Linked DNA regions of Rhinolophus ferrumequinum. The protein of the gene in region 1 interacts with the protein of each later gene in a biochemical or structural test. Links are inferred from orthologs where the notes say so. Each region holds a gene or a part of one and is shown in the gene's direction. Other genes may lie near its edges. The genes, in order: PLCG1, LCP2, LAT and SOS1.

The links.
Region 2: the proteins of PLCG1 (region 1) and LCP2 form a complex in vitro, tested with the Homo sapiens proteins (2 studies listed by BioGRID). The link is inferred for Rhinolophus ferrumequinum from reciprocal best matches to the Homo sapiens genes PLCG1 and LCP2.
Region 3: the proteins of PLCG1 (region 1) and LAT form a complex in vitro, tested with the Homo sapiens proteins (2 studies listed by BioGRID and IntAct, with this or other methods). The link is inferred for Rhinolophus ferrumequinum from reciprocal best matches to the Homo sapiens genes PLCG1 and LAT.
Region 4: the proteins of PLCG1 (region 1) and SOS1 form a complex in vitro, tested with the Homo sapiens proteins (2 studies listed by BioGRID and IntAct, with this or other methods). The link is inferred for Rhinolophus ferrumequinum from reciprocal best matches to the Homo sapiens genes PLCG1 and SOS1.

Annotation. Positions count from the first base shown.
Region 1 is NC_046306.1:15,662,952-15,670,675, reverse strand, and holds the start of PLCG1 (1-phosphatidylinositol 4,5-bisphosphate phosphodiesterase gamma-1), read left to right. Parts: upstream 1-4,716; 5' UTR 4,717-4,852; intron 4,853-5,241; 5' UTR 5,242-5,355; coding exon 5,356-5,572; intron 5,573-7,724. UniProt on the Homo sapiens protein: Mediates the production of the second messenger molecules diacylglycerol (DAG) and inositol 1,4,5-trisphosphate (IP3). Plays an important role in the regulation of intracellular signaling cascades.
Region 2 is NC_046307.1:36,963,480-36,971,352, reverse strand, and holds the start of LCP2 (lymphocyte cytosolic protein 2), read left to right. Parts: upstream 1-4,872; 5' UTR 4,873-5,123; coding exon 5,124-5,201; intron 5,202-7,873. UniProt on the Homo sapiens protein: Adapter protein primarily involved in signaling pathways within T-cells, as well as other immune cells such as platelets, mast cells, and natural killer (NK) cells.
Region 3 is NW_022680357.1:1,328,949-1,335,877, forward strand, and holds the start of LAT (linker for activation of T-cells family member 1), read left to right. Parts: upstream 1-3,917; 5' UTR 3,918-4,043; intron 4,044-4,216; 5' UTR 4,217-4,557; coding exon 4,558-4,660; intron 4,661-4,852; coding exon 4,853-4,880; intron 4,881-4,975; coding exon 4,976-5,010; intron 5,011-5,249; coding exon 5,250-5,337; intron 5,338-5,468; coding exon 5,469-5,533; intron 5,534-5,627; coding exon 5,628-5,802; intron 5,803-5,872; coding exon 5,873-5,967; intron 5,968-6,929. Other genes in the region: SPNS1 (protein spinster homolog 1), read left to right, coding at 61-127, 876-1,021, 1,252-1,407, 1,694-1,883, 2,221-2,286, 2,532-2,630, 2,952-3,123, 3,390-3,484. UniProt on the Homo sapiens protein: Required for TCR (T-cell antigen receptor)- and pre-TCR-mediated signaling, both in mature T-cells and during their development.
Region 4 is NC_046296.1:44,779,842-44,787,024, forward strand, and holds the start of SOS1 (son of sevenless homolog 1), read left to right. Parts: upstream 1-4,176; 5' UTR 4,177-4,411; coding exon 4,412-4,498; intron 4,499-7,183.

The DNA of each region.
Region 1 (7,724 bases):
GTCAAGCAAGTGTCCATATGAGAAACTTCTTGTATAATTTATCCCCAGGAAAATTTTTCTCCCCTATGTTGTCAGTTATCAGAGTAGTTTTTGCTTTGGCTACCAGGAAGCTCAGCTACATTTGATGTTAACCCATATTAACCATATTATATTCCTTCTTTTATCATTGTATGTCCCATTTCTATATTACAGTATTTTTGTCCTTTGTTTTAAGTACCCTAAACTTTTTTTATAAAAGCTATTTTATTTTCATTAATTAATTAATTAATTTATTTTAAGGAGGGCACAGCTCACAGTGGCCCATGTGAGGATGGAACCAGCAACCTTGGTGTTACTAGCACCACGCTCTAACCAACTGAGCTAACCGGCCTAAACTTTTTTCAACGGATTGAAAAGAATACATTTGTGGTAAGCGTAGTGATGTGCCATCCAGGTTCCCCTTTAAGAAAGCACTTGTTGCCCCACTGCTGGGAAAGCTGTCAGTCCCCCAAGGTCACCTCAGCTGTGGAAAGCCATCTGGCCAAGGCTTGCTTTTCCCAGGACAGTCCACATCCAGTGGCTGATTGACGTGGGCTCCCTGGGGATTGGCCTGTGTCACAGCTTAACTTCCCTCTGTACCTCCTCCTGTTTCCGTCCTCTCCCTTCCAAGGGCACTCCCTAAGAACACATTCTGCACACTAACCTCTGTCAGAGTCTGCTTCCAAAACACCCCCAACCTTTGACAACATTAACCAAATAACTAAAAATAGAAAACATTAAGTAGGGGTATTATGGAAAGGGGTGAGGATACACAATAAAACGTTCATACCTGCATGAGAGGCAACATAGCATTGACTCTGGAGCCAGGGTGCTGAGGTTTGAATCCATCGCTGCTACCTCTTAGCTATATGTCCATGACCATGTCTTAATCTCTTCATGCCTCAGTTTTTCTCCTGTAAAATGGGGATAAGAACAATACTTTGGGCCAGTCCGGTGGCTCAGGTTGTTGGAGCTCTGTACTCCTAATACCTAGGTCGCTGGTTCGATTCCCACAAGGGCCGATTCCCAGCTGCGCCCTCTACAGCTAACATTGTGAATAACAGCTCTCCCTGGAGCTGGACTGCCATGAGCAGCCAGAGGTTGGCAGGAGCTGCTGCGGGCTGCTGTGTGCTGCCGTGGGCTACTGTGTGCTGCCGCAGGCTGCTGTGTGCTGCCAGGAGTGGCCGGTGGCCAGCATGAGTGGCCGGCAGCCATCATGAGCGGCCAGTAGCCATCATGAGCGGCCGGCAACCAGCGCGGGCTGTCATGAGCTGCTGTGAGGAGCCGACCCACGACCGGCAACCGACTGCCTCAGCCCTGGGGGAGCTCATAATACCAGCATGGGCCAGGGAGCTGCATCCTACACAACTAGACTGAGAAACAATGGCTTGAACCGGAGTTGGAGGGTAGGTGGAAGAAGGGGGAAAAGAAAAAAAGAACATACTTTCAGTGCTGTAATGAATAAATGAGCCTATGTGAGTAAAGCAGTTATGTAGGACTTACTTTATGCTAAGTGCTGTTCTAAGTGTTTGGTAAATAAACACCTGTGACGTCAGGCCCACAGGACCGGAGGGGCAACTGGGCTGGGACTCCTCCCCAGACTCCAGGCACAAGTATTAGGGTAGACCGGGCATGTGGAAGCATGAGTGTTGCTAGAAATAGGCCCAGGCAAGACTAGCCTGGGTGATGTCACAGACATGTGCCTTGTGTGGGTGCTGGGCTGCTCCCTCCTAGCCAGTGCAGCTGTACGCATTGCCAGTGACACCCACATACCCATATATATGCTGAGATGGGGGAAGCCCATCCCAGTCACGCCCTCTGTGTGCCCTGCTTTTCCTGAACATCCTTTGGTGGAGGGAGGCACCTGAGTCCTGGGATGCTGGCTCAGAAATCCCAGGAGGAAATGGGGCCCTGTTTCCTAATGAAGGGCCTGGCAGCAGACTGAAAATATGAGCTCGTGTTGGCAAGGATTTCTGGAGCTCCTGGGGGCCCAGCCTGAGAATCAAAAACGCAAGCAAAAGCAAGGAAGCATGGGCTGCATGTTGGGAAGCTCTCAGAAAATAGCAAAACAGATTTTAAAAGTGCATCACAGCCCGCAGGCTGCCCAAGTTGGCACAAGAAGCTCAAGGAAGGCTATAGGAGTTGGGAGGGGCCCTCCTAGAAAAATGGACAAGATCAGAAAGGCAGGGAGGAGCCCCATTCAGGCCCCACCGGTCTTCCTGGCCTCATTACCCCACATGTTCCACTGCACTAGATAAACGCTAGCCTTCTTTCTATTCCTAAACTCGCGAAGCTCTTTCCAGCCTCAGGGCCTTTGTACGTGCTGTTACCTCTGTCTGGAAAGCACTTTCCTTTCCTTCAACCCACCCTTAATAATTCACCTGGCCATCTACTCACATCCTTTAGGCCTCTGTTGAGTCTTAAAGAGGTCTTCCTTGTCTACTAGATCTGAAGTAGGGCTCTCTAATGTTTTATCTCATAGCCCTCAGTTCTTTCCCTCTGTAGACCTCATCACAATTGTGCCTACATAAGAGAGTGTTTATCTGTTTAATGTCTGTGAATTCTTGGAGGGCCGGTGCAGGGTTTCTCTTGTTCTTCCAAACCATGGCACCAATGCCTAGCACAGGGAAGCTCAGGAGCTGTAGACAGAGGCAGCACCATTTTAAGCCCAAGCCACACTTTATGAGCGTTTGTGTTTTCTGAGTTCCCTGTGCTCAGGGCCACGCATGCCCAAGTCTTCCCCTCACCCATCCCAATTAGCCTCCATGCCCACTGACTGTTGTCCTACTTAAGGCAGTGGCTCTCTTGTGAGGCAGAAAATGCATGGAGTCAGACAGACTTGGGTTCAAATCCCCACTTTTTAGTTTTGTGACCTTGGGGCAAGTTATAGAACTTCTCTGAATCTGAGTTTCCTCGTAAGTAAATTAGGGAAAATAATCCCTGATTAGAAGGTAATTATGAGGATCAGGTGTGACCACATATGTAAGCATTGTATCTCTGGGCAAGTCATTAGATCAACTTTAGTTCCCTTCCATTTTAAAAGCCTGTCACTAGGTGGCAGTCCATCTCAGCCACTCCACCTCCGCTCAGGTGGCTGAAGCCTCCTAGGACAGGCGACTCAACTTCAGGCTGAATTCTCAGCTTCTTAGGGGCTGCACTTGAGAGGGAATCAAAACACACACAAAACACACACCACTACCGCAAGAGGCAGCCCCAGACACTAGTCACCACCCAGCTGGGTGGGTTGCCTGAGCACAAATTCCAGGAAGCCTGGATCTGTCTCTGGCATCAGCTGGGTGCTCCACTGGGCCTCTCACCTCTGAATTGCAGTAAGTTGCCCTGCTCTGCCTTGCTCGATATCTGTCTGACCGGTTCCACTGTGACCACAGGTGTCTTCGGTGTTGGCGGTTCTTTGTGACAGGCAGCTAGATTGCAGGGATGAGTCTAGAGAATGGCTTCAGGAAGGCAAAAGAGTGTGCATTATTCACATACCGGCATATCTCAGAGATATTACAGGTTCAGTTCCAGATCACCATAATAAAGCTCGTATTGTGATAAAGGGAGCTGTAATCTTTTTGCAAGTGGGGGGTCTTGCCTTCAGTTTGTTAAAGACAACACCTGTGAAGCCCAACAAATGAGGCACACTAAAACAGTCAGCCTGTAACCACAAAAAGGCTTTGTGGCTGGAGAATGGGGCGTGAAGGGGAGGTGGTGAGAGATGAAGTAGAAGAGAAAGGGGCCAGACCATACGGGACCTGTTGGGCCAGGTAGGGAGTGTGGATTTTATGTGCAATGGAAAATCATGGAGGCTTTGAGGCTGGAGGTAGGGGACCATGATGTAATTTAATTTTAAAGATTAAAGCATGGAGAATAGATGCAGGCAAGAGCAAGGAGGGTAAATAGTCTGAGTGAGAAAAGATGGGCCTTGGGCTTGTGGATGGAGTGGCGATATCTGAGGGCAGAGTGAACTGGATCTGATGGATTACTGTGTGTGTGGGATTGAGGCAGAGAGGAATCAAGAATATCTCCAAGGGTTTTGGCCCAAGCACCTTAGCATTTAGTGCCATGTTCTGAGAAAGTGAAGACGGTGGGAAGAGCAGTTTGAGGAAGAAGTGAAATGCCTGTGTTAAGTGTGGACGCGGAGTATGGAGAGAGTATGGACGGGATGCAGGAGAGAGACAGATTTGACGTTGCGGGTGCCTGGGTTGGGGGTGACAGGTCGCCTTGGGAACTGGCTCAGGACCCAGCAGAGAGGAAGAGAAGCTTCTGAGGCCTAAAGGCAGCAGCCAGAGAGGGAGGAGGGAAACAAGAGGAGTCGGGCTGTGAAAACCAAAGCTCAGGAGAGCATTTACAGGAGGGTCACCATGAGGTAGGACCTGAGACCACCTCCTGCCTTGTGGACACGGAGTGTGAGCTGAGGTGACAGAGACAAAGGCCACTGGGAGCTGTAGGTCTAAAGGCCCTGCAGGAGATGCTCAGATCTGGTGGGCTTCTCCAAGTTACAGGGCCCTCGAAGGCTACACTGGCCGCAGGAGCAGGACAGAGGTGGGTCTGCGGCCTGCGGGCCAGCCCTGCGCGGCCAGAGAGGAGGGGCGGGCTAGATCGTCTGTCCATCAGAGACCGCAGGCCAATCCGCAGACGGCCCCGCCCCCGCCCCTCCCCGGAGAGGGCGCGCAGAAGACCCGCCGCCGCCGCCGGTGTGAGGCGGCCCGGCCTGGCTCCCTCCGCCGGGCAGCCCGCCCAGGTAACTGGGTTTGGCTGGCGGGCCCGAGGGACGCTCCGCGCCCTCACCTCCCTACCCGGTTGCTGCGCGGGCGGTGCTCGGGGAGTAGGGGTGAGGAAAAAGCTACGACTGGGCCTGAGCGGGACAGTGGGCTGGGCGGCCGCCTGTGCGTGTGCGACTCACTGCGGGGCCGCCGAGCGGCTACCGCGCGTGACGGGGTCGACTGTGGCCACGCAGCTGTGTACGGGGTCGCGTGAGGAAGCTCTGCGGGACGGAGGAGTGGGGGCTTGACCGCGAGCGGCACGCGCGCTCCCGCCGCCATTGCGCCCCCGCCCGGGGCCTCGCCGGGGGTCGCGGGGCGCAGGCGCGGAGGGCGGCAGGCGGGGGTCCTCCCCACGGGCGCGCGGGCGTCTTTGTTCCCGGCGCGCGGACCGGGGCGGGGCCTGCAGGGCCGCCCCGCCCCCCGCTCAGGCCCCGCCCCGCCCCGTCTCCGCCCGCAGGAGCCGCCGCCGGGGCCCGCTCGCCGGCAGCCTCAGCCGCCGCCGCTGCCGCCTGCTCCCACCAGCCGGGCCTGCATCGCTGTCGTAGCCTCTACCGCCCCCAGGACCGGAGCCATGGCAGGCGCTGCGTCCCCCTGCGCCAATGGCTGCGGGCCCGGCGCGCCCTCGGACGCCGAGGTGCTGCACCTTTGCCGCAGCCTCGAGGTGGGCACCGTCATGACTTTGTTCTACTCCAAGAAGTCGCAGCGGCCGGAGCGGAAGACCTTCCAGGTCAAGCTGGAGACTCGGCAGATCACGTGGAGCCGCGGCGCCGACAAGATCGAGGGGGCCAGTAAGTGCGACCCCTCCCCGGGGCCCGCTGCGCGCGCGGGGGCGGCAGAGATCCGCGCCCGCCTCCCGCGCGCCCGCGGCCGCCGAGCGACTTGGACAAACTTTCCGTCCCTCCCCACACCCTCCGGACCCCGCCCCCGCCTCGGTCCCGGTGGTCACCAGGGGCGGGGGGCATCCGGGTCCTCAGTCACCTGACAGGACACCCCCTCCCCCAGCTGGGGGGAGTGTTCTGGCGCTTTGCCCAGAGGCCTAAAAATTCTAGTGAGTTGGAGACCAGCGGGGCAGGCATCGGGTCTCCCACACACCGGGAGTGGTGTCCACAGAGGCGAGGGGAGGCAAGGCGGCGCCCCCCATCCAGCCCCTGAACCTGGGGTGAGACCAGATGGTCGCCGCTCACCACCTTTTCTCCAAAAAGAGCAGTCTTGGTGAAACTCTTTGGGCCCCTAGGCTGGGCTTTTATTTGCAAAAGAACCTTTGGGTTCTTTGAGTAGAACTTAGGCAGATGTTGGAGTAGGGCTGGTTTTGGAGCCGAGCCGGGCCTACTCATCTCCCTCTTGGGGAGGAGGAAGGTGGTCTTGTTTGGTTTGGAAAAGCCTGAGAGAAGGCAGTGGCTGCTTTTTCCTACTGCTGCTTTTGTCCTGAAGCTGAATATTGGAGGTCTGTGTGGGTGAGCAGACACCCAAAGCCAGGGCAGGGACTCTTGGTAAAGATCCAGGCTCCCCTTTCCCTTGGAAGCTCAGTCTCAACTACTTGACCCCAGAAAGGCCAGCCTCAGTGCCTTGGAGTCAGATACTCTTTTCATGAGCGGGCAGCCAGTTTGGGGTCTAGCCCTTTATGTCCTGTGGCTGTAGGGAGCCAGGAGCTACTACTCTTGATTTCTTACCTTTGTGCTCTCCCGGGCCTGAGCATGGCAGCTTTTGTGCAGGTCTGAGTTGGGAGGAGGGAGTTGGGGATTTTTAAAAAAACCCAGATCTCTCAGTGTTATTCCACTTAGCACATGCCTGTGCTGTGGCCGGATGGGCACCCAGCTCTGCCCTGCGTTCCCCCCCCCCCCCCCCCCCCCCCCCCCCCCGCCTCCAAGTGTGAGAGATGATGTGTCACAACCCCAGGCTGTGGGTTGCTTCCTGCAAGGACCGCCCCCCCCACCCCCTCCAGAGACAGGTGTCAGAGCCAGGCTCAGAACTCGGTCCATGTATAGGAGGGTGGTCGGGAACTGACACCCCCAAGGGAAGGTCCTACAGACTTCCTTGAACATGCTGTATATGCATGTAGATGGGTGAGGAGATTGGGAGGAAGGAAGGCCTTGTGGTAAGGCAGCCATCCTCAACTGCAAACTCCAGATCTGACACAGCTGCTGACCTTAGAAATGGCAGCTGTCTTCCTCCATCTCCATGCCCCCATTGGCCCTGTCAGCCATTGCGAGAAAATGTTAGTGATTTGAGAGACTGGATTTCAAAGTGGAGGAAGTACAGACACTGCAGAAAGCTGAGATAGTCTTGGGAACGTCACCCACATATCAGAGTCCAGACACAGCCCCTCTCTTGCTTCTGTGGTGATCCCTATGCTGTGCCTAAATGGGGTCCCTGGCTGGAGGTTCCCAGATAGAGAGCTCCTGGGTAACAACAGGCTGCATTTCAAACCACGCATGTAACCAGCAGGTAATAAGTGCAGCCCAGGGGTTGAAGGCAAGGCTCGATTTGAGGCCTGTATATTAGTTGTGTGTCCCCAGTCAGTTCCTTATCTTCTCCTGTCCTTACTTTTCATCTGTAAAGTAGGAATAATAACATATCCGCTATATGTGGTTGCTCAGGGGAGTAAATGAGAAAATTGATGTGAAAACATCTAGCACAGTGCCTGACACATGATCAATGCTTAGTAAATGTGAGCTGTTGTTAATAATGACAATAACAGATTATGACTGCCCTGCTAGACCCTGGACTGTGAATATTGTGCAGGGGGAGTGTGGGTGTAGGAGAGTCTGAGAGTGCAGGAAGGGAGGAGGATGGCAACTGAGTTCACATTTCACTTAGATCACTACCCGGAAAAGGGTAGGAAAGGGGGTTTTTTTGCCCCAACCCATCTACCTACCCACCCACCTACCATGTAGAATAGTGTGTAGAGTAAATATATGGAGATTTGCACATCTGACACCT
Region 2 (7,873 bases), on another chromosome or scaffold:
TGCCTTCATGGCACCCAGCCTGCCCCTCCCCCCAATCTGCCCTTCTCCATCTTGCTGGAAGGGCAGGGGGTAAGGTGTTTTCCTCTTTCCTCTTTCCTGAGAAGCCTGCATTTCCCTCTCCTGACCCCTGCCCACACCCTTGCAGGCTCTTAGGGAATTTCCCTTTGAGCACAGCTATCTGGGGATAGGCTGCCCAAATCAAAAATAGGGCAGACAAGGAAGGGAAGCTTGACAGGAAGTCCAAATAAGCACTTCCTCCCGCCCACCTTTGAACTTCTGAGGTATCTCCGCTAAAACAGCAGAGAAAGATGAAGACAGAGGATGAAAAAATATGTATTTTTTTTTTAAAAGAATGAAATTGTCAGCTCTGAGGAAGTGGAAAATATTGCTCCTCATCACCTTGCATGCAGCGTCTGGTTCATGCTTTCCTCATGCATGTCCCAGGAAGGGGGAGGTGTCCAGTCTGGGCTGGGAGGAGGGTCTGAGCAGTGGTCAGGACAGAGCGCAGTGTGGCTTGCAAGCGCCCCTCCCCCACTGCCCACCCCGTGGCCTCCACCAGTACTGGTGAGAACGGCTCCTGCACATCTGGGGATGCTCTTTGGCAGGCCTGTCCCTCCTGGCACACCCATTCGGAGGCAGGGTCACTAAATTCTGTGCCTCAGTGTATGGCTGCCAGGTGTGTGAAGCTGCCCTGCCCAAGGGAACAGTTAGGACCCCATCCTGGCTCTCCTCGCTTGACCCTTCTGTGTGGTTGAGCCATTTGCCATCCAAAAGGAGTCCACACAGAAGGGGCTTCCACTGCCAGCCTTAGAGAACTGAGGGGAAAATATTCCCTCCCTGTGAAGGTGACCGCTACAGTTCTCGTTCCTTCTGCAAGCAAACCCACACAGGCCCTAGAGAAAGTACCAACAGCAGTTCACCTCAGCCTCAGGTGATACATCGAGCCATTAAAAGTTGGTGGAGGTGAGGCTGGGATGAACCCGTATGAGGGATGGCACCCTCTCTGGGCCACTTTCTACCACCTCTTCTCCTTCCCCCAGCCAACACCCTCCTTCTAAATTAAATACAAACTAGCGCATCATCCCACCCATCCGCTAACTCCTTAGGTACCTCTCCTAAGAAGGCCAACACATTCTCCGCTCCAAAATCCCTACTTTCCATTCTCTCCTGGTCCCTAAGCAACAATTCCTTCCTCCGCCCTCACGCACAGAGGCTGAGACTCCCAAGTCCCCGTTAATGACCTGCTTATTTTTTCTCACCCCTAAATTTAGCTGTGAAAAAGGCAGTTATCTCCCCCCCTACTCTGCTGTGGGTTAGCTGGAAAGGGAGGGAGCTTCAAGTCTGGATGGGGTGGGGTGGGGCAGGGAGGATATCGGGGTGACCTCCCTCTAGGTTGCAGTGTGCTGCTCCTACATCCACTTTTGGTCCCTAAGATTGAAAAATCTGACGTATCACTCCCTGCAAGTGTTCCTTTCTTGTCCACAGGCTCTGTTGGATACACGTTTCAGATTCCTATCCCGTGACCCCATTCCTGGTACTCCCATGAGGCAGTCCTTACTGTGTTCAGAGACTAGTTGACCCCTTCCTAACCTTGAGGTAAAGATTACAAAGCCTAAGAAGGCCTCTGTTAACCTTTCAATTTGCTCCTTCATGAGGGAGTGCTGGGAGAGGGTCCTACCCGAGCCATGGCTTCACATCTCTGCCTCTTACCTGTTTCCCACTCTGCTTCATGCTCGAAGCCAAGACCAATGCTCGCTAGGGGGTCGGTGGGAAGTTGGCCTGACCGTCATTGCGGCAGCCTCCCCCCGGCTGTGGGCTGTACCCAGAGGCTGCTATTGTCACTGCCCGTGTTATAGAGCCTGAGACTGAGCCAAGGAGCTGGCCTGCACAGGGTTACCTGGTCCTCCTGGCGTCCTGACCCTCTCTTCCCCAGGGCTAACTGGCCCTGCAACAGGAGCTTCTAGAACCCTCCAGACAGGCAGAGACAGGCAATGTGAAACTTGTGAGCGTTGGGAAATCACCGAGGACTGGGGAAGAGGAAAGGCTCCAGGTCTCAGGCAACCAGCTTCCCCTTGCGTCAACTGCTCTCGCCTGCACAGCTGCCCTTTTCTGAGGAACAGGCCTGTGATCCTGTGGGGCGGGGTCACCAAAGCCCTGCCTCCTGGAAAGGGCTGCATCGTCTTCTTAACTTGTCCAGACTGCCAGCCTCACTGGCTCTTCGCGGAAGGCAGACGGATAGAGTGGAAATTGCACAGGCTCTGGAGACACAGCTGGGTTTGAATGCCTACTCCAGCTTGGGCGATTTATGTAACATCTCAGAGCCTGAGGTGACAGAGAGGTAAAGGACAGGGGCTCTGAACTCAGAGAGAGTCCAGGCGAGACCCAACTGCACAACCCACATGCCGGGTGCAAGGGGGCACGTTGCTTCACCTCTCTGAGCCTCAGTTTTTCCTTCTGTAAAGTAGGAGTCACAATGGCGCCAACAGTGAAATGAGATAATTAGTGAACAGTTCTCAGTCCCTCCCTGGAGCACACGCAGGGCTCCATGTGTTGCATCTGCCATGATTCTGATCATGTCGTCATCGCTGTCACCAGGTTTCTTAACTGCTGTGTCTTTCTTCTAAATGGGCTCCGTGTGTACTGGATAATTCTTCCCTCAAAGCCTCATATTTAGCGATTCCTTAATTCTAACGCCTGCTTTTCTGTAGGCAATGGGAATGAATGTCATTAAAAATTTTGTTTCTACTTTTCAGGATGATCTTGAATGTTCCTTTCCACAGGTGTGGTGTGTTCTGTTTGCTAATGAAGTACACTCCAACATATTACACACACACACGCGCACGTGCATGCGTGTGTCCAGAATGCCCTCCATCTTCCCCTTGCTTAAATTACAGCTAATTCCATGACATCTTCTTTGATCATTCTACTTGGAAGTGATTTATCTGTCTCCCTTTTTTTCAAATGGTGTTTTATTGTTCGCTGCTCTTCTAGTGACTGGAAAGTGAAGTGACCTCTCCCAGCAGTGGCGGGCTTTTGAAGAGTAGGCCCATGCCATGTGGAGCATGGCCAGTTATGAGAGAGCGTGCTTAGGTCCAGGCCCTGTGAGGAGTTCTCAGCCTGGGCTGCCTCCACTGACCCCCCTAGTGCCCTGGGGGGGAGCATGACACCAGCTAAGTTTATGGACCACCTCCGTAAAGGAGCCCAGCCTGGGATGAAATGCCAATCTCACTGACACTCGCAACGACAGGCTGATGCATACAATGGCAGACATGGTACATGGCCAAAGCTACCCTCGAAAAAGCTCAGGAAGGCACCACCTCAGGACCAATGCAGCATCACTCAATAAATGCAACAGAGCTGGGTTCTTTCCTCAAGCATCAGAGCCATGGCCGTCTATGTGTACGTGCCTGGAGTACGAGATGAAACAGTGAACTTGTCTTCAGAGGCGGCAATGGTGCCTACGAGGTCTGACAATTAAGTTCACGAACTTGTTGCTAACCTTTTTGATATCGGAGGGATTATTCATTATAAATGTGTACCAACTGGACAAACAGTTAACCAAGTTTACTAGTTGGAAGTGCTGAAAAGGCTGCGTGAAAAAGTTAGATGAAAATGAGCTGAACTTTTTGCCAACAATTCATGGCTCTTGCATCACGACAATGCACCAGCTCACACAGCACTGTCTGTGAGGGAGTTTTGAGCCAGTAAACAAATAACTATTGGAACACCCTCCCTACTCACCTGAACTGGCCCCCAATGACTTCTTTTTCTACCCAAAGGTAAAGGAAATATTGAAAGGAAGACATTTTGATGACATTCAGAACATCAAGGATAATACCACAACAGCTCTGATGGCCATTCCAGAAAAAGAGTTCCAAAATTGCTTTGAAAGGTGGACTAGGCGCTGGCATCGTTGCATAGCTTCCCAAGGGGAGTACTTTGAAGGTGACTGTAATGATGTTCAGTAATGAGGTACGTAGCACTTTTTCTAGGACGAGTTCACAAACATAATTGTCAGACCTCATAAATACATCTGCTTTTAGCCACTGTAGTCAACCTCTGCTAACAAGGCATTTAGACTATGAGGAGTACACGGAGTCTGAAACCGACTGAGGAAACAGCAGGTGCCCATCTCCTGTCTCAGGGCCACGCCAGGAAATGTGCTCTGGATAGAATGTATGGTGGAAACAACAGTGAACAGAATATATGGCAGCATCAATAGCAATTATTGTTTTTTTCTTTTAATTCTTTTTCTTTAAGTTTGTCTAGTTAAATGCATCTACGTTTTATGTACATTTGAAGTAATCCTTCTGTTTTCCTCTTTAACAGATCTGGAAATTCCCCTTGACTCAGTGAGAGTCCTAGATCATACGTCCTTGCCTAAGCTGGCACACGGCAGAGACTTCATATCAGAAATTACACCCAGTTCTGCCCGGCACAGCCCCTCTCTCAGCCCTGGGTGCCCACCCAGCTCACTCATGAAGAATCCTCTCCTAGGACCTCTAAGGAGGTAGCTGAAGGAACCTCAACTTTATCCCTTTGAGAGAGACTGAGGGGTGGTTAGCAAGCATGAAAAGGCCATGTTCCTCCCCCAGCAGTGCACTGATGTGGGAAATTGTCTATATTTTAGGTCAACTGTCAAAATAGGTTTTCATCAGCAAAGGCGCAGCCAAGCAGGAATGTGGTGTGGACACATGGGTGCCAAGAGTTCTAATGGAAGCCTACTTGGACTCACGGGAGAGTCTACGTCCCCTTCGTCACCCCTCCCACCCGGCTGGGGTGGCTGGGACCAGCAGGGTATCACCAACCCTGTCGCTCTCTCTGTCTCTCCAGTCCCCAGAGCTGAGCTTCCTTGTTTACTTATTTAGAGCCCAGCAGAGGAAGTGGTAAAGGAAACTTGCTGAGTCGTTTTCTGAGAAGAGACCATATTTGTTCGCGGAGGAAGACGTTGCTTTCTGGGATCTGGTTACAGCAGAAAAGACGTTTGCTCCAACGAGGCTGTTCCAAAGAGTAACTGGGAATTGGAAGAGCCAAGGACACCTCCACACCCTCGATTTGAAGTTCTCTGTCCATGGGTGCAGCGCCCACACTCAGCTTTTGAGCTTCCTCCTGGGAGAGCAGCCATGGCGTTGCGGAATGTGCCCTTCCGCTCAGAGGTCCTGGCCTGGGATGCCGAGAGCCTCGCCGACTATTTCAGGAAGGTGAGCCTTGCTCTTTGTTGGTGGCGGGACTGGCAATGTCCTCGGTGGGCTGGACAGAGGCTTGAAGATGGAGTCCAGGCCGCACAGGAGAGGCGGAAAAGATAGCAATGGAACTTCCAACCTCGCAGCAACCTCCCCAGTTGTGCGAGTGCCATGTAGATACACCTACACCCCTGAGCGTTCGTGGTAGTGAGAGCTGCGGAGAAGGGAGGCCCTCGAATGAATGTGCAGCTAGTATGTGCCAGGGCTTGAGTGTGTGCTCTCGAGGCTCTGTCCCATTTAATACTCTCCAGTGTTGTTGTTCCTTTGACTCAGCTGCAAAATCAGCTCAGTGAGGTTAAATGGCCCAAAGCCCCAGGGACTACATGTGACTGAGGCAGGATTCCAGTCACGCCTGTCTGGTTTCAAAGTCTATGCTCTGAGCTGCAGAATTGCTAGAACTACTCGTGAGATCAAGGCTACTTACTAGAAAGGGAGAAATGGAGTCCAGGAGGCAGGAGAAAGAAAAGGCAGGGTAGGAGGGATGAAGAAGGCTCTGATGAGCAATGCGGGAGGTGGCAGCTGGGCAGTCAGTGCTCATGACCCTGAAAGCGGGGTCTCAAGCCCTTATATGGGACAGAGGCTCGTTGAAGCTTTATGAGAGTCTTGTGAAGCAGGTCAGAAAACCGATAGGAGCCCAGGTTATAGCCAGGGGAACTGAGCTCCCTACAGAGGAAGAGGCTTAGCCAGGCAGGGTCAGAGGCTAAGCTTGTGGCAGAGCTGAGGCCAGAATGTTGCCGTCCTGCCTTCCGGATGTGGAGATGCTCAAGGATCCCTGTGCTCGGTCATCTGCTGCTGGGACCACAGTTTATATATCTGTTTGGGCAGATCCCAAGCTACATGACTCAGTAAGGGACCCTGTGTCCCTGTCCAAGGGATACAGAGTCTGTGAGGGACACTTGATTCTCTCACACCCCCATCCCTGAAGGCTGGCAGTAAATTCAGTTGACACTCCAGACTGTCATAAAGAGGAGACGTTAAAGTCAAGGCTTAGAGATCTAACTCAACTTTCTGTTTTTTTCTGGGGGTGGAATACTCTCCTTAGGACACCGAGCCAAACCTGGGGTCTATAGGGTACCAAGAAATTGACTATCACAACTATTCTTCCCCAAGCTAAAGAAGAAAAGTATGAAAATGTTGAATGACATGATAGAGGGACAGCCGACAGAGCCTGTTATTGGCTGCTTTGTGTGCATCTCATTTCTGTTCTTATTCCCTCTCAAAGGTCATAATAAACTTTTGACATGGTGGGTGTTAAGATTGAACAACTGACTTTTGAAGGATGTCTCTACATACTTATCTTAAATGTAGATCAAATAAACTAAGGCACAAGGTGAAATTTGCCAAAATGCTGTCAAGGGGCACGTTAACTCAATAAAGAAAGAAGAGAAGAATTAGGGAGGGAAACCCGGGGACAGACTGAGAGGCACAGACAGTCCCCATCTCCAATGTGAGAAGGAGAATGGCACAACCCAGTCCAACAAGCGAATCCCTGGGTAACGAATGTCCCCCTTGGCACAGGGAGATGAACTATGGGTTAGGGATGATTCAGGGAGCATGGCCTCTGCCTGAGAGAGAGCTTTCTTCTTGGAAATCCCAGACTCTGGGACAAATTTGTAGCACCAGGACAGGTTACTGCTCTCAGCATAAAAGAACAGGGGAGAGGAAGAAGGAAACGGAGGTGCATCTGTGATCTGGGAAGTCCCAGCCTCCAGGACTCAGAGAGACACCCTCCAAATCCTGAGCACCTGAGTCCTCAGAGAGAACGTACCGATTGAACCAGCACGAACGGATCACTTGGGGATGGACCCTAGCCACCCGATGCCCTAGTTACAGGATTGATTGTCAAGTCCAGTTTCTAAGGAAGCAGTGGGGTCAGGCCTTCCTTGGAGACACCTCCCCAGCCAGCTCTGGAGTCAGACACATCTTAGTTTCACTCCTGGCTCTGCCACCTGCTAGTGTGGTGACCTTCCTTTAGTTACTCGACATCTCTGTGCCTCAGCTTCCTCATCGGTTAAATAGTGATAGTAACTAACCTCGTGGGATTGTTGGGGGAATTAAAGGAAATAGTGGGTGTGAGGCATTCAGCAGAGAGAGGGGGGCAATTCATGTTCAATCTTCCCTTTGTCCTGCTCTGTTCACTGGACCCTCGCTGGGGTGCCCAGGCAGACTGGCAGGTCTTTGTGTCTTACTATCTCAGATACGTTAGCTCATCTTGTGTCTGGAATGTGAGCCCCTGAGGACTGAAGTCATGTTTTATATTCCTTTAAGCCCTCCTATCCCCTTTGGCTTAGCAGGACAGCTTTCCTAGGCTATGCAGTGGAGAAGGCACTGGCTCAGAGCCATGGCTTCTACCCCCAGCTGTGTCCCCAACTCACTGTGTGACTTGGGGCCAGTCCCTTCCCCTCTCTGGGCCCCAGTTGGCTCTTCTACAACCCGAGGTACCTGCTCTAGACCAGTGCCAACCAAAGCTGGGTGCTCATAAGAATCATCAAAGTATTTGCTAAAAATATAGACGCTACCCCCCAGGCCGTGAATCACAACGAACTTCCAGGCAAGTTCCAGTCTGCCAGGCTATCTGTCTATTTAGAGTTGAAGTTGGCACGCTGCAAAATCAGAGATACGTCTGATAA
Region 3 (6,929 bases), on another chromosome or scaffold:
GCTTGGCACTGGGCAGGACTGACCGGCTGTCCCCTCTCTTTTCCCACCCCTCCCCGCCAGTGGTCTGGGTTATATCGCAGGCTCCAAAGTGAAGGACATGGCTGGAGATTGGCACTGGGCTCTGAGGGTGAGTCTGTTCTCCACCTGGGGGTAGGTACCTCTCGGCACCTCTTTTCAAAACAGTGTTTCCTCTGCCAAGCCTGTGGAAAGCCTCGCTTCCCTTCCCACAAAACCATGTGCCAGACAGAGCTCTTGGCTGCAGGTGACAGAAACGCATTGTGAAAGTGTAAGCCCCCACGTAGGACAGGGCTGGCTGTCATAATGGAAAGTCCCAGGGTGAGCTTCAGGTACAGCTTGATCCAGGACTCCCACCGTCACAGGAACTGGGTAATCCTTGTCTTAGCTCCCCTTTCCTCTGTGTTCACTTCATTCTCGAGTGAGAGAAAGCTCCACACGTTTATCTCCTCAGTTAGAGACTTAAGGCACCCTGGGTCCTTGCGTAGGAGTCCTGGATAGTATCCGGTTAGATGAGCATGGGTCACGTGTCTGCCACTGAATTGGTCACTGAGGCTGGACAAGTCTGGGTTCCGAGCCCCGTTTGAACCACATGGATTGAGAGAAGCGGGGGGAGTGGTTTCCCAGAAGAAAATCAGGGTGCTGTTACCAAAGAGGGAGCAGTTAAGCATGCAGAAGTGGGGGTGGCCCTAGTGGCCATTGCTCCTCCCCCCAGGTGCAGGCCAGCTTCCTTGAGCCAGCATTAGCCCAGGTGTGTGAGGTCTTGGGGCCTGAGGTGCCTTTACACACCCTCCCTTTCTCCCAGCCCCACAGGTGAGGGTGTCCGCCCGTGCTCGGCCTGAAGCCCACTCTTTCCCCAGGTGACACCAGGTCTGGGAGTGGTGGCTGTACTGCTGCTATTCCTGGTGGTACGGGAGCCGCCGAGGGGAGCTGTGGAGCGCCACTCAGACTCCCCACCCCTGCACCCAACCTCGTGGTGGGCAGACCTGAGAGCTCTGGCCAGAAAGTGAGTTTAATTCCATCGCAGCCCAAGCTGGCCCTCCCTGGGGCCAGGAATGCAGTCACTACTGCCCCCTGTGGCAGCTGCAGGAACTACAGGCCCAGACCTTGGGACCCAGGGCGGCCTCCACCCCCAGTGCCCTGACCTGACTAAAATACACCAGGAGGGGAGAACGGAGTCCCCTCCTCTGACACCTCGGTGGACTCTGACATCCTCCCTTTCAACGATCTGTGCAGCCCCAGTTTCATCCTGTCTTCCCTTGGCTTCACGGCTGTGGCCTTTGTCACGGGCTCCCTGGCTCTTTGGGCTCCTGCATTCTTGCTGCGTTCCCGTGTGGTCTTGGGGGAGACCCCACCCTGCCTTCCTGGAGACTCCTGCTCGTCCTCTGACAGGTACCCAGCTGGGGACTGGGCTGGGTGGCCTGCAGGTGGCAGGAGATGGAGGGGACAGAGGACAATCCAGGCTCAGACAGGGAGAGTCTGAATCCCAGCTCCACTCGCTACTTCCTCTCAGCGTCCTGGTTGGGAAACAGCTGGCGGGAGCTTGGTGACCTGTGGGCTGCGGTGCCTGGGTTGTGTGGGCGACCGGGGTGGACCATCCTCCTCTCCAGGCTGTTGGGGTGAGGCGGGGAGGCGTTGCAGGCAGATGGACTAGCCCGTGTGCCCCCGCCTCCCCCAGCCTCGTCTTTGGGCTCATCACCTGCCTGACGGGGGTCCTGGGTGTGTCCCTGGGGGTGGAGATCAGCCGTCGCCTCCGCCGCTGCAACCCCCGGGCTGACCCACTGGTCTGCGCGGCCGGCCTCCTGGGCTCTGCACCCTTCCTCTTCCTGTCTGTCGCCTGTGCCCGCGGCAGCATCGTAGCCACTTACGTGAGTAGCCAGCAGGTGTCCAGAGGGGTGTTGGGGGTTCAGGGTGGAGGAATGGGGCGCTGGGGCAGGACTGGGCTCAGCCAGCCCCGTGGTTCAGAACCAGCTTGGAGCAGGAGGGCCTGGTTCTGAATCAGCTCTTGCCCTTCCCAGCTGTGTGGCGTGGGCCGAGTGACTTAACATCTCTGTGCTCAGGTTCATGATGTGTAAATGGGAAGAATAGCTCTGTCTCATGGGGGTATTGTGAGGATTAAACGGGTTAGTAGATGGGCCTCCACGTGTTTGCTCTTCTTGTGATGAGATCATCCCCGCTCCCCCACACCACCCTCTGGTCCCCCAGATTTTCATCTTTATTGGGGAGACACTGCTGTCCATGAACTGGGCCATCGTGGCTGATATTCTACTGGTGAGTAGGTGGGCCGGTCCAGCATTGGGCCCGATGCTGGTGGGTGCAGGGAGTGGAGGCCTCACTTGCCTTGAATTGTGGCCTTTGTCCGTTCCGCGAGCCCCCGCCCCACACTGGCTTCTGAGTCCAGCCTCAGGTGGGCCTGTAGTCCCGGCCTGCCCTGCCCTCCCCCATCACACCTGTGACCTCAGCCTCGGCGGAGCCTTGACCCCTTCCTTGCCTGCTGTCTCCTGCCCTCCTCCCAGTACGTGGTCATCCCTACGAGGCGCTCCACGGCCGAGGCTTTCCAGATCGTGCTGTCCCACCTGCTGGGGGACGCTGGGAGCCCCTACCTCATTGGCCTGGTGAGCACTGCTCCTTCACTGGGCCTGGTGGGGGTTGGGGCACCCTGCCTTCCTGGCACCGGCCGGTGGTCAGTGGCCTGAGCCTGGGCTGAACCGGAAGGTTTGGCCCCAGTGAGGGATCCGGGTCTTCCATGCCAGGCAGCCGTCACCTTGGGTCCTCCGCTAGACGGGAAGGATTTTGTCTTTGCAGGTTTCCACAGGGCGGCCGGGGTCCTCTCCCCGGAGGTTCCAGGTCCCCCTTTCATTCTCTGGAGTTTGAGCCTCCCTCTTCCCGCTGCCCTCCCCGTGACCCTGCTGGCTTTCCTCCTCGTCTCCCCACAGATGTCCGACCGCCTCCGCCGGAGCTGGCCCCCTTCCTTCTTGTCCGAGTTCCGGGCCCTGCAGTTCTCCCTCATGCTCTGCGCCTTCGTGGGGGCCCTGGGCGGAGCCGCCTTCCTGGGCACTGCCATCTTCATTGAGGGCGACCGCCGGCAGGCCCAGCTGCACGTGCAGGGTCAGTCGGGCCCCCCTCCCCTTGCCCTAGGTCACAGTTCTGCCTGCTTGTTTGGTCATCCGCCAGCCCATCTGTGGCCTAGCCCACGTCCCTGGCACCTCACACCCCAGCTCTCCCCTCATCCAGCTTCGGGTCTGCCTGGCCCACAGGCTGACGTCCCGCCGTGCCCACAGCTCCGGGGCCCCAGGCGTTTCCCACTGTCTGTCCCACAGTGGCTTTGTGTCTGTCTGTCCAGCCAACCCTGGCTCTGACCCCTCCCCCACCAGGTCTGTTGCGCGAGGCAGGCCCGGAAGATGACCGCATTGTGGTGCCCCAGCGAGGCCGTTCCACCCGGGTCCCCGTGTCCAGCGTGCTCATCTGAAGGGCTGTCCCTCGCCTACCTGCACACCAAACACAGCAGGCCTCGGGCCCACCCCCGGAGGTGCCCGGGCCCAAACCCCCGACTTGGCCCCGCTTCCAGGAGGGGCACTGGGCCGTGTTCCCGCTCCCATACACTACATGGATGGCCAAGGGGGGGGCGTTGTGAGTCCAGGAGGGGACACCTCTCCCCTGGAGCAGCCCCAGGGGCTCGGTGCTATTTGTAACTGAATAAAATTTGTAGCCAGTCCCCAACTGCCTGCTTGAGTCTCTGTGGGTGCTGGTGACCTCCTATCTCAGGACTGTATGGGATGCCCCCTCTCCAGCCCTGGGGGGCTGTTGGGTCAGTTGTGTGGGGCTTCTGGGCTGGTGAACCGGAGGGTGGCGTGAGCTGGCTCCGTGTGACTATGAGTCACGCCCCTGCTTCCCGAGAGCCCGCCCCTTGGCCGGCTGGCTCGGGCGATGGGGTGGGCACTGCCCCGTGCCCCTCCGAATTCCCGGTGCCAGCCTCCCTCCGTGCTGCGTCCGTGGCTGGCCTGCAGCTGTCTCATTCTCTCCCACTGGTACGTCCTGGAGGCCAGCAGCCCCTTTTTGAGGACCTGGGGGTGGCTCCTCAGGTCTCCTCCCCCCAGTCCCCACTGGCTGGGTGGGGGTGGGAAGGGGGTGGGTGCAGCCGGCTGAGGAGCCCGATGATTTCCTGCCCTCACCCGGTGCTCACCACAGCTTCCTGCCGCAGGCAGGCGGGCAGGCGCGGAGGAGAGGCAGGCGCGGAGCCGGGGGGCAGGTAGGCCTGGGCGCGGGGTCCACACCAGTGGCTGGTGCCCCAGACTCCAGCCTAGGCCCTGGCCTGACCACCCTGGGATCCAGGGTCTTCCAGAGCCAGCGCTGACCCCCACTCAGCCCAGTGAGGCAAGGGGATCCGGGGAGCCCTCGAGGAGGGTGCGGCTGCCCCCTCATCAGGCTCCTAGCCGGGTGTGCTGGGCCCGGCACCCCTGCTAGCTCAGCTCTGCCCCTGCTGGAGCTCTGCCCTGGAGGGCGTTCGGCCAGCAGCCAGGCCTGGTCCCAGCTCTCCTGCAGATGGAGGCGGCCGTCCTGCTCTCCTTGGTGCTGGGCCCCCTGCTGCTGCCTCTCTTGGCTGTGCTGCTGATGGCACTCTGTGTGCGTTGCCGAGAACTGCCAGGTGAGTGGGCGCTGGCAGGGGGACCAGAGGCTCGGAGGGACCCACAGGGGTCCTCGCCCCCCTGCCCGATCCCTCACGCCATCGTGAAGTGTCCCGAACTCTGTCCTGCACATGGACATGGAGAGCCCCAGACTCCATCATCCCGTCCCCAGTCACCCCCTCTTCCTGCCTCACTGGCCCTCTCTTCCGCAGACTCATATGACAGTGTACCGTCGGATAGGTGAGTCTGCCCTTGGCCCCTAACACCCACTGCCAGGCTGGGCCTGGGCCTGGGGCCTCTCCCGGCCCCTTACCGAGCTCTGTCTTTCCTGCCAGTTTGACCCCAAGTAGCATCATGATCAAACGGCCTCGTGAGTACATGGAGGGTCCCTTCCTTCTGGGGTAGGGAAGAGAGTGCCCTGGCGTGTGAGTGCCCTGACATGTGAGCAAGTGTGTGCCTGACCTAAGCTGGGGTGGGGAGGGAGATGGGTGCCCCCAGACCTGGCCGGGGTACAGAAATTTCAGGGTGTTAGTGTGCCCTTCGGGGCCTCGACGGCGGGAGGGGCATGATGTCCAGAGTCATTCCTTCAGCTTGATCCTGTGTCCTCAGCCACGCTCGCCCCCTGGCCACCAGCCACTTCTTACCCACCTGTTACGTCCTATCCACCCCTGAGCCAGCCAGACCTACTCCCCATCCCGTAAGTGGCCCCTTCTCCTTCAACCCCCTCTCTCTACCGCTCAGCTCCTTGGGTTGGGACCCCTTCTCTTTTGCAAACCCCGTTGCCCCAGAGCCCCAACCTAGGCATGACCTCTTACTTTTGACTCCCAGGAGATCCCCACAGCCCCCAGGGGGTTCCCACCGCATGCCATCTTCCCGGCAGGACTCAGATGGCGGTACGTGTGGAGCGGGGCCCAGGGCCTGGGGCTGGGCACACGAGAGGCCCTGCCTCAGCTGACTCAGTCTCCCTCTCGCTCCCTCTCTCTGCAGCCAACAGTGTGGCAAGCTATGAAAACGAGGGTGCGTCAGGGACCCTCGGTGCCCTGGCTGGGGGCGGGGGGCCTGCCCCAGGCTCTGCTGACCTCTGTGTCATTACCACAGAGCCCGTCTGTGAGGATGACGATGAAGACGAGGACGAGGAAGATTATCACAACGAGGGCTACTTGTGAGTGGTCAGGAGGGGGGAGGGGGCCGAGCCCCGGTCTTTGCTCACTCGCCCCTTGACTTCCCCTCAGGGAGGTGCTTCCTGATACGGCCCCGGCCACTGGCACCGCTGTCCCAGCAGCTCCGGTGCCCAGCAACCCCGGCCTCCGAGACAGCGCCTTCTCCAGTGAGTCCCACTGTGACCGCCCCCCACCTCTCGGTGCCAGCCCCTCCACGCTCTCCTCTCCGGTTGTTTCTTTGGAGCTTGGACCCCTCTGCGTTCTCTCTTCTCTCTATACAATTGCCATCCTTCAGAGAGAGCACTTCCTGCTCCAATCTTCTGATTTTCCTACCTGTTCTCTCCTCTTTCCTATCGCTCTGGCTTTTTTTGTTTTCCTTTTATTGTCTGCGAGATTTCCTTGACTTTATTCTTCTTTCAGGGCTATTCCTTGACTCTCTTTTTTTATTTTGTGTCGCGGCTCTGAAAACTCTTTGTCGATCCCCAAATGTTCCTTTTTCATAGCTTCCTGTTCTTGTTTCATGGGGGTGGGGGGGCAAAGTCATCTTGTAAATCTCGAAGGGAATTGATTATAGGCTGTCTTTGTTGTTTTTGTTGTTTTGGAACTTTTCTGCTTCCTGCATTGTCTGTTTCCTTTGAGCTGTTTTTCTTCCTTCGTTTTGGTCTCATCCTGCCTGTGAAAAGCTTTCTTCAGTGTCTGTTACTCTCCTCTCTCTATATACGTGCCCCTCACTTCTACACCCTGGCTTCATTTGCCATCCAGATTCTCAACTTGTCGCCTCTTTTCCTGAGCTCCAGACCCTTTGTCCAAGTATTTCCGTTCATTCATTCACTCATTCATTCGTGGTGTTTACTGGGTACCTCTCATAGAAGAGCCAAGGAGGCAGAGTCATGATAAAAGAACTGATATTATTGAGAGCCTAATCCATGCCCTACTAAGAGTTTTACGTGTATTAGCATATTAAACCTCAATTCCCAGGAGCTGTTGAGCCTGGGCCTTCCCCTCCTGTACCTTGGTTGTCCCCTCTGGATGGCGGTAGGGTTTATTTATTTAACAGAGGCTTGGTAGCACTTACTGCTTAATACTTAACACTTCATATTCACTGCTTTAGTCCTCACACCACCACGAT
Region 4 (7,183 bases), on another chromosome or scaffold:
CTTTCCCCACTCATCTGCAACGCCTGTTGTCATAAATCAAGTTTCTATATATTTGGCTCTTTATTGATCTATTGATTTGTTTGTCTGATACCACATTGTTTAATTACTCTAGCTATGTAATAAGTCTTCATATCTGGTAAGTCAAGTTCCCTTACCTTGTTCTTTTACAGAAGAACTAGGTTTTTTTTTTTGCTCTTCCATATATATTTTAGACCAGTTTATCAAGTTCCATGACAAACCATTGGTAATTTGATTAAAGTTGCATAGGATTTGTGTGCAGTTAGTTTGAGGGGCCGTTACAGCTTGAATCAACTGAACTTTTGCAAAAAACGACTCTGTAGGGATCCTGGAAAAAAGTGCTAGGAATAATCCCATATATCTTGGAGAGCTTTTTAATCATTTCTTCTAACTGTACTTACCTTGCTCCCCACCATCGAGAGGAGAGAGAGAGAGACAGAGACAGAGACAGAGAGAGAGAGACAGAGAGAGACAGAGACAGAGACAGAGAGAGAGACAGGAAGAGGGAGAGAGGGAGGGAATCAAAGTGTTAACTAAAGGTGATAAGAGGTTGTATTCAATGGTTTTATCACCACTACTTTCTCTGGCGTACTGTCTATGTACATACTATTTGGAGAAGTGGAATTGAAAGCAGGAATTTGAGAAGAAAGTGTGAGAAGCATGAAGGGAGGATATGCTGCTTGAAGAGAAAGGACCTTAACTTTGCTGATGGCTGAAACGGCTGTTTCTATGCTTGTTGTGCTCTGAAGTTTAAGGGGTAGGAATCCTAAATGGGAGATGAGAAAGACTTCAGAGAGAAGGTGGCATTTGAGCTGGAGCGACAGCGTGGATGAGTTCCACGATGAGCGTGTACATGGGTGGTGGGTTGAAGCTGTGGCGGGTGGGATTGAAGAAAAATGGTTATGGGCATTCCAGGCAGACGGAACAGGATAGACAGGAAGGAGAGACAGAAATGATGGGTTTGTAGGAGGCAACAGTAGTTCATTTTAAGTGAGAGATATTGCAGGAAAGATAAGTAGTGGCCCGATTGTGCAAGACCGTGAATGCCAAGCCAAGGACTTTAGACTTTATCCCTGGATGGCAGTGGAGGCTCTTGAATAGGAGAGTAACTGGCTCTGAAATTTGCTTCAGAAAGGTAATTGTGACTGCGTCCCACTGCGGCGCTGGGAAAGGAGCTGAGTGCTGCACTCCCACCTGCAGGGGGCGCGCCGCCTGGCGCAACGCCCTCCCCCGCCCCCTTCCCTGCTGCTCGGGCTTCGACGCGACGCGCTCGGAACTCGTCTTATCCCTCCTGGACACGCCCCCTCGGGCCTCGGCTAGGCCGCCTGGGCCCGCGCCCTGCGTCACGTCCGCTTTGATTCAGGGCCTGTTAGGGCCGAGGGGCGCGAAGAGCACCTTTGCGCCTGCGCCGGGCCGCAGTCGGTGGCTCTTGCTGACCGGCCTCCAAGGCTTTGCGCCTGCATTAGCATGTTCACGGTTATCTTCTGTCACTGCACACTCATAGATGTTTTGATTTGTCCCAAGAGATATAGGCAAACAGCGCAGAGGGGCTCGATCGCTCCCTAACCTTAGCGGCGCCGAGCCCAGCACCGCATCCCTTAGGCTCTCAGCTGAGAGGTGCTGAGTCGCTTCTCTGCAATATTCCTTCAGCTGCTTGCTCTCAATCTGCGGCCCAAACGTTCATACTAGTGAAAACCTGCCCCGGCCGCCCCAGCACAGGCTGTAATCCATGTTTCTAGGCATGTTTTACCTCTGCAATCATAGCAGAGACTCGGAGTTGAAGGGGACCTTGCAGGTCATCAAGTGCAACCTCTTAACCCTCCCCTATGTCCCGAGCGAGTGAATGTATGGTTTTTACTTGCACCCCCAAAGATCGTCCGTTTCCTAGGACAACTCTGATTAGGTAACCTTCCTGGAAGTTTCCTACATTCAACTTTCATTCCTTCAAAATTATTTATTGAGCACCAACTGTGAGTCAAGTACTGTAGGTTCTGGGGATACAATGAGGAACTAGAGTGAAACAAACGATTGTTGATCTCTTGGAGTTTACATTCTATTCTAGTTGGGATAGATCAACAACTGAAAATAATTAAAGGCTGTGATTTATGTTAGCAAAGAAATAAACAAGGCTTATGGTAGAAACATAGGTGGGAACTGCTCAGCATTATTAGACAAGGCCTCTTGGAGGTGCTGACATTTATAACCAGCCAAGCGAACAGTTAGGAGCAGAATAAGTTCCAAGCCGAGAAAAGAGCAAAGCCCTTGAGGCAGGAAAGAGGTTGCTGTTTTCTAGGAAGACAGAAGACCAGTGTGGCCAGAGGGGAGGCAAGGTTGAGAATGCAAACAGGAACCAGACGCAGGCTTTATGGGCCACGGTAAGAAGTTGGAAGAGAACAATGGGAAACCAAAGAATAACGTGGGGCAGAGATTTGATCTTAGTTCAGCTGTTTAGAACCACACAAACCATATCACATATCCTATGTTTTTCCATATCAGTCCTTTAGATATTTGAGCATGGCTGATATGTTTTCCTTTCTTGCCCCCAACACCTCTGGAAGCTATGGTTCTACTTCATTTTATCCAGAAGATTTATGAATGACTTTCAAAACGTCACTCTGAACACTGAAAATGTGGAGAATTTTTCATGTAAATCAGGTGTGTACATTTTTAAAGGAAAGGACCTAAGGCTTTTATGAGATTCTCAAAACCACCACTTAAACATTTCTCATCTCTGTGGTCCTGATTATTGTTCTCTGGAGTAGCAGGGTACAATGTCAACTTCAACCCAGGCTAGTTCTCTAAGTGGTCTTCTCACCTGTGAAATGAAAACTAGAAATGCTATGAGGATTAAATGAGATTATGTTAAAAAAGTGTTTAATGGTAGGCCATAACGCGCCAGCCACACCCGTTCCACTATTATAAACAAACACCTGCATCCCTGGGATGGAGGGACAATTTATAGGTAAAGCTCCTTCAGCACTCCAAACATTCACGAAGTGCCTATTCTGTATAGAGCCCCTGGTGAAAAAAGATCTGCCTTCCAGGGGTCTGGTATCTCGCTGAAAGACCCAGGAGAGATAAACGAAATGTCCACCGTGAAGTGTTGTGGGATCTGGGAGCTGCAGACAAGTCTTTAATTTCCACTGGAGTTAAGCGGTCATCGGAGTTCATATTTGAAATGGGTTTGAAATATGAAAATATTGAATTTTATTTGAAGTGGGTTTGAAAGATGAACATATTGAATTTTAAACACACAGAAAATCAGTATTACACATAAACATTTTATTCTTGATGTGCAAAGGCCGACTGGAAACACTGCGATCACTTCTATTATCTGACAAATACCAAACAGCAGGTATCGTGAGAACGCACCTATCTTTTGTCCAGTCTGTTTACTATACATTGCCTGCTCTGGGCAGTCCTTATCTTCATGTTCGGGAACAAAGTACACACATACACACCCCTTTCCGAAAAGAGAAAGGCAGACTCCAAGAGAGGGGTGGGATCCCTCGTGGCCCAACCACACAATGGGGGCCACTTCACCGTAGCTCGCCCCCTGTCCCTCCGGACCCCCCACACCCCCGCCCCACAAGCCCCACTGTAGCCGGGGTTCGACTTCTCCGGTCCCTATCGCTCCTCCCTTGCAGCTCCAGGGATGCAGTTACAGCCCCTCCGGGCGCCCTCCCTCTCTCGAGCTTCCCTCCTCCTTCGCTGGGGAGCCGGAAAACCCGGAGCGAACTGGCCCCGTCCGGCGGCGCATGCTCAGTAGCGAGCAGGTTCAGTTCGCTAGTAGGAAGCCCCAGCGCTACACCCGCGTCGGCGGCGGCCGCGGCGGCACCTCAGGGCAGCCAGATTCCCCAACAACGACCTCGGGCCTCTCCCCTCCCCCGCTAGACCCCGGCCCCAGCTCCGCCCCGCCCGGGGTCGCTCGCGTTTGGCGGTCTCCGCTGCGCTGAGCGGTCGCCGCGGCCGGAGCGCCCCTCCACACGCCCTCCCCCAGCCGCCGGCTCCGCCGCGGGGCCAGGCCGGGCCCAGGAGCGCAGCCCCGGCAGGCGGGCGGGCGGCGGCCTCGGCAGAGGGCAGCCCGGGGCGGCGCCGGCGGGCCGGGGAGGGGTGGGGGGGCCCGGCCCCTGGGCGGTGGTGCGGGATGCCGCCGCCACCGCCTCTGGGCTGCGTTCGCTCTCTGCGGCGGGTGCCCGTGTCGGGTGGGTGGCCGGCCGCGGGCCTCGCCCCCCAGCCCTCTCTCCAAGGCTAGCCCGGCCGCGCGGCGCCCCGAGGGGGCCGGGCCGTCCGGTGGGGCCGCGGCCCTGCTCCGCGCTGCGAGCTCGCCCTCTCGCGGCTCCCGGCCCGGCCGCCGCCGCCCCCTCCCAGTGCAGGGCGCCCCGGGGGCACCATGCAGGCGCAGCAGCTGCCGTACGAGTTTTTCAGCGAGGAGAACGCGCCCAAGTGGCGGGGGCTGCTGGTGCCTGCGCTGAAAAAGGTGAGGAGCGCAGGGGACCCCGCTTCCCGGCTGCAGCCCCTGCGAGGGCGCCGGGCCCGGCTGGGCAAGGCTTGGGGAGGCGGGGCGCGCGCGGGGCCGTCTTTCTTCCCGGTCTCACTGCCTCCCAGAAAGGACGGCACACACTGAGGTTCCCCCGCAGTCGCTGGCTGTCGGTGTTGACATTCACTCCGTGTGTGAGAAGGCCGCAGGAAAGCGGGGAGCGTTTGTCCAAATCATCCAGTCCCTGACAGCTTAAGGTCCTGCCCCTGATTCTCTCACCAGAGTTGGAGCAGCCTCAGGTCTCAGCGGAGGTCAAAGCAGGCCACTTTTCCGGCTTCTTGGTCTTACCCAGACCCGCTGTCAGCCTCCGGTTTTAGGTGTCCAGTCTGCCCGTTTCAGTGGGCTCGATATGCTCTGGCCATAATGCTTGCTCTAAGTAATTGCAGCGCTCGCCTGCCAGCAGGAATATGGCCTGCTTTGCTCGCCCTCTGTAATCACTCTTCATTCCCCCGAATTCCTCCATTCCTCCCATTAACAGGCGCGGGTGTGCAAGCCACTCTTTTTTCTTTTCTTTTTCTTTCTTTCCAAAATCTGAGAATTTTGGCACTATCATTCGGTTTGTGGATCAGAAATTTTAAACTTCCTGTGTTTCTTCAAGTTTGCCACATTGTTACCTAACGTTATATACCCCACGACTTGTACTTTTTAAATGTTTTAGTGTAATTAGGAAATGTTGCTACATTTTAAAAGCTTCTAAAGCAACATTGTGACTTAAATACATTAAAACATCAGGAACTGGTGTGCTTGAATGAACCTTAGAAACAACCAGAGTATTTTTTTGTTTTCCTTTTACTTTTTCTATAAATATAGAAATTGCTTTCTCTTTTAATAGTGTTTCTAAATCCCAGTTTCTTGTTGCTCAAAGAATGATTCTTGTTATCTGGTGAAAATATTTTTACTCCTACTGAGAGTTCAGATTATGGGTGTACCTTTTGTTCTAAGCATTTATCCTTTTAAAAACTGTCTCTTGAAAGGTGTCTGATATTTCTCAAAGGCCAGCAACTTTTACTTTCCCTTTTGCCCTGTTCTCCCTTTTCCCCTCTTGGTATCTTACAGTGGAAACTATTTGGTTTGTTAGCAGAATTTGCTCATATATTTCAGATCTAAGTTAATGACCTTTTTCCTTAGATATCTGACTAGCCACACACATCTCTGTGATACTGTTTTAAAGAAAACCAAAAACAGATGCTATTTGCCTTATATTCATTAGGCTTTATTCATTAGAAATCTCTTCAGGCTCTCACTGTATTTCCTTTTGCTTTACCTACATGCTACATCTTAGCTTGTAATAGAAGGTGAGTAGGAGGTCTCAGTGATGCCAGACCTGATTGGTATCCTGACCGAGGTGGAGAGGAGACAGAAAAATTGTTAAAAAAAAAATACAAAAAACCTCCTAAAACACTATCAATTTGGGGCTATTTTGTTTGGAAGCAAGCAACGCCTGTCCCAGGGGAACCATCAAGATACTCTTATCAATTGAGGGGACTATGAAGCAGTAAAAAGAGCAGGAGTTGGCAGACCAGGTCCAACTCTGCCACACTGGTGGCCCTTGCTAAAATCTGTCCACAGAAGCATTTGGTTTGGCTGGCACCGTGTTGTTTTAATTTTAATGTAATTAGTTGCCAATGTTTAAAAATGGGAGATATTACATAAAATCAGAATTTTGAGCTTTTCTTGAAGAGTAGCTCTCCCCTCATGGGCCCGCTTTCCAGCAAGGCAGTAAAGTGCTGCAGCTGCCCTCTTTAGACAGCATGTAGTATTTTCAGTTTACCACAGCTCTCCACCAGACCTCTGCTTATTTACCTAAACCAGCTTTGACTTTAAGCAGAAATGCCCTTGTATGACAGAAGTGATGGGAGGAGGTGGAAGGATACACAATCTAGTTGATAGGTGAGGTTCTTCCAGTTCTTTTTTTAATTATTAGTTTCAGGTGTACAAAACAATGTACTAGTTAGATATTTACACCCCTCACAAAGTGATAACCCCGTCCCCCCAATCTACTACCTCTCTGACATCGTATACAGCTATTACAATACCATTGACTCTATTCCCTATGCTGTACTCCACATCCCGTGGCAATATATGTATACATATACTTAATTATAGTTGACATTCAATACTATTTAACTTCAGCTTCAGGTGTGTAGCATGTTCTTCCAATTCTTATTTAAAATATCTACTATTGATGATTCTAAGCCACCTAAAACAAGGTTAAAAATATATTTCATATCTGGACATGCTTTGGGTGGCTCAAAACCTGCGTTTTCATCTACCTGCTGCTGTGTTTCCCCAAAAAGAAGACCTAGCCGGACCATCAGCTCTAATGCATCTTTTGGAGCAAAAATTAATATCAATATTACATAAGAACCGGTCTCATATTATAGTAAAATAAGTCCGGGTCTTATATTAATTTTTGCTCCAAAAGACGCATTAGAGCTGGTGGTCTGGCTAGGTCTTCTTTTTGGGGAAACACAGTAGACATTTAATTTGGATATCTCCGTATCTTGAACTCCTCCTTTAGACTTATTGCACTATTTGCCGATGTGCCCAACTTGTGTTATCTTACCTGAAGCTCTGTGGAGATCCTGTTATTTTCACCTGGACTGCCCTTTGCCTGGCCTAACA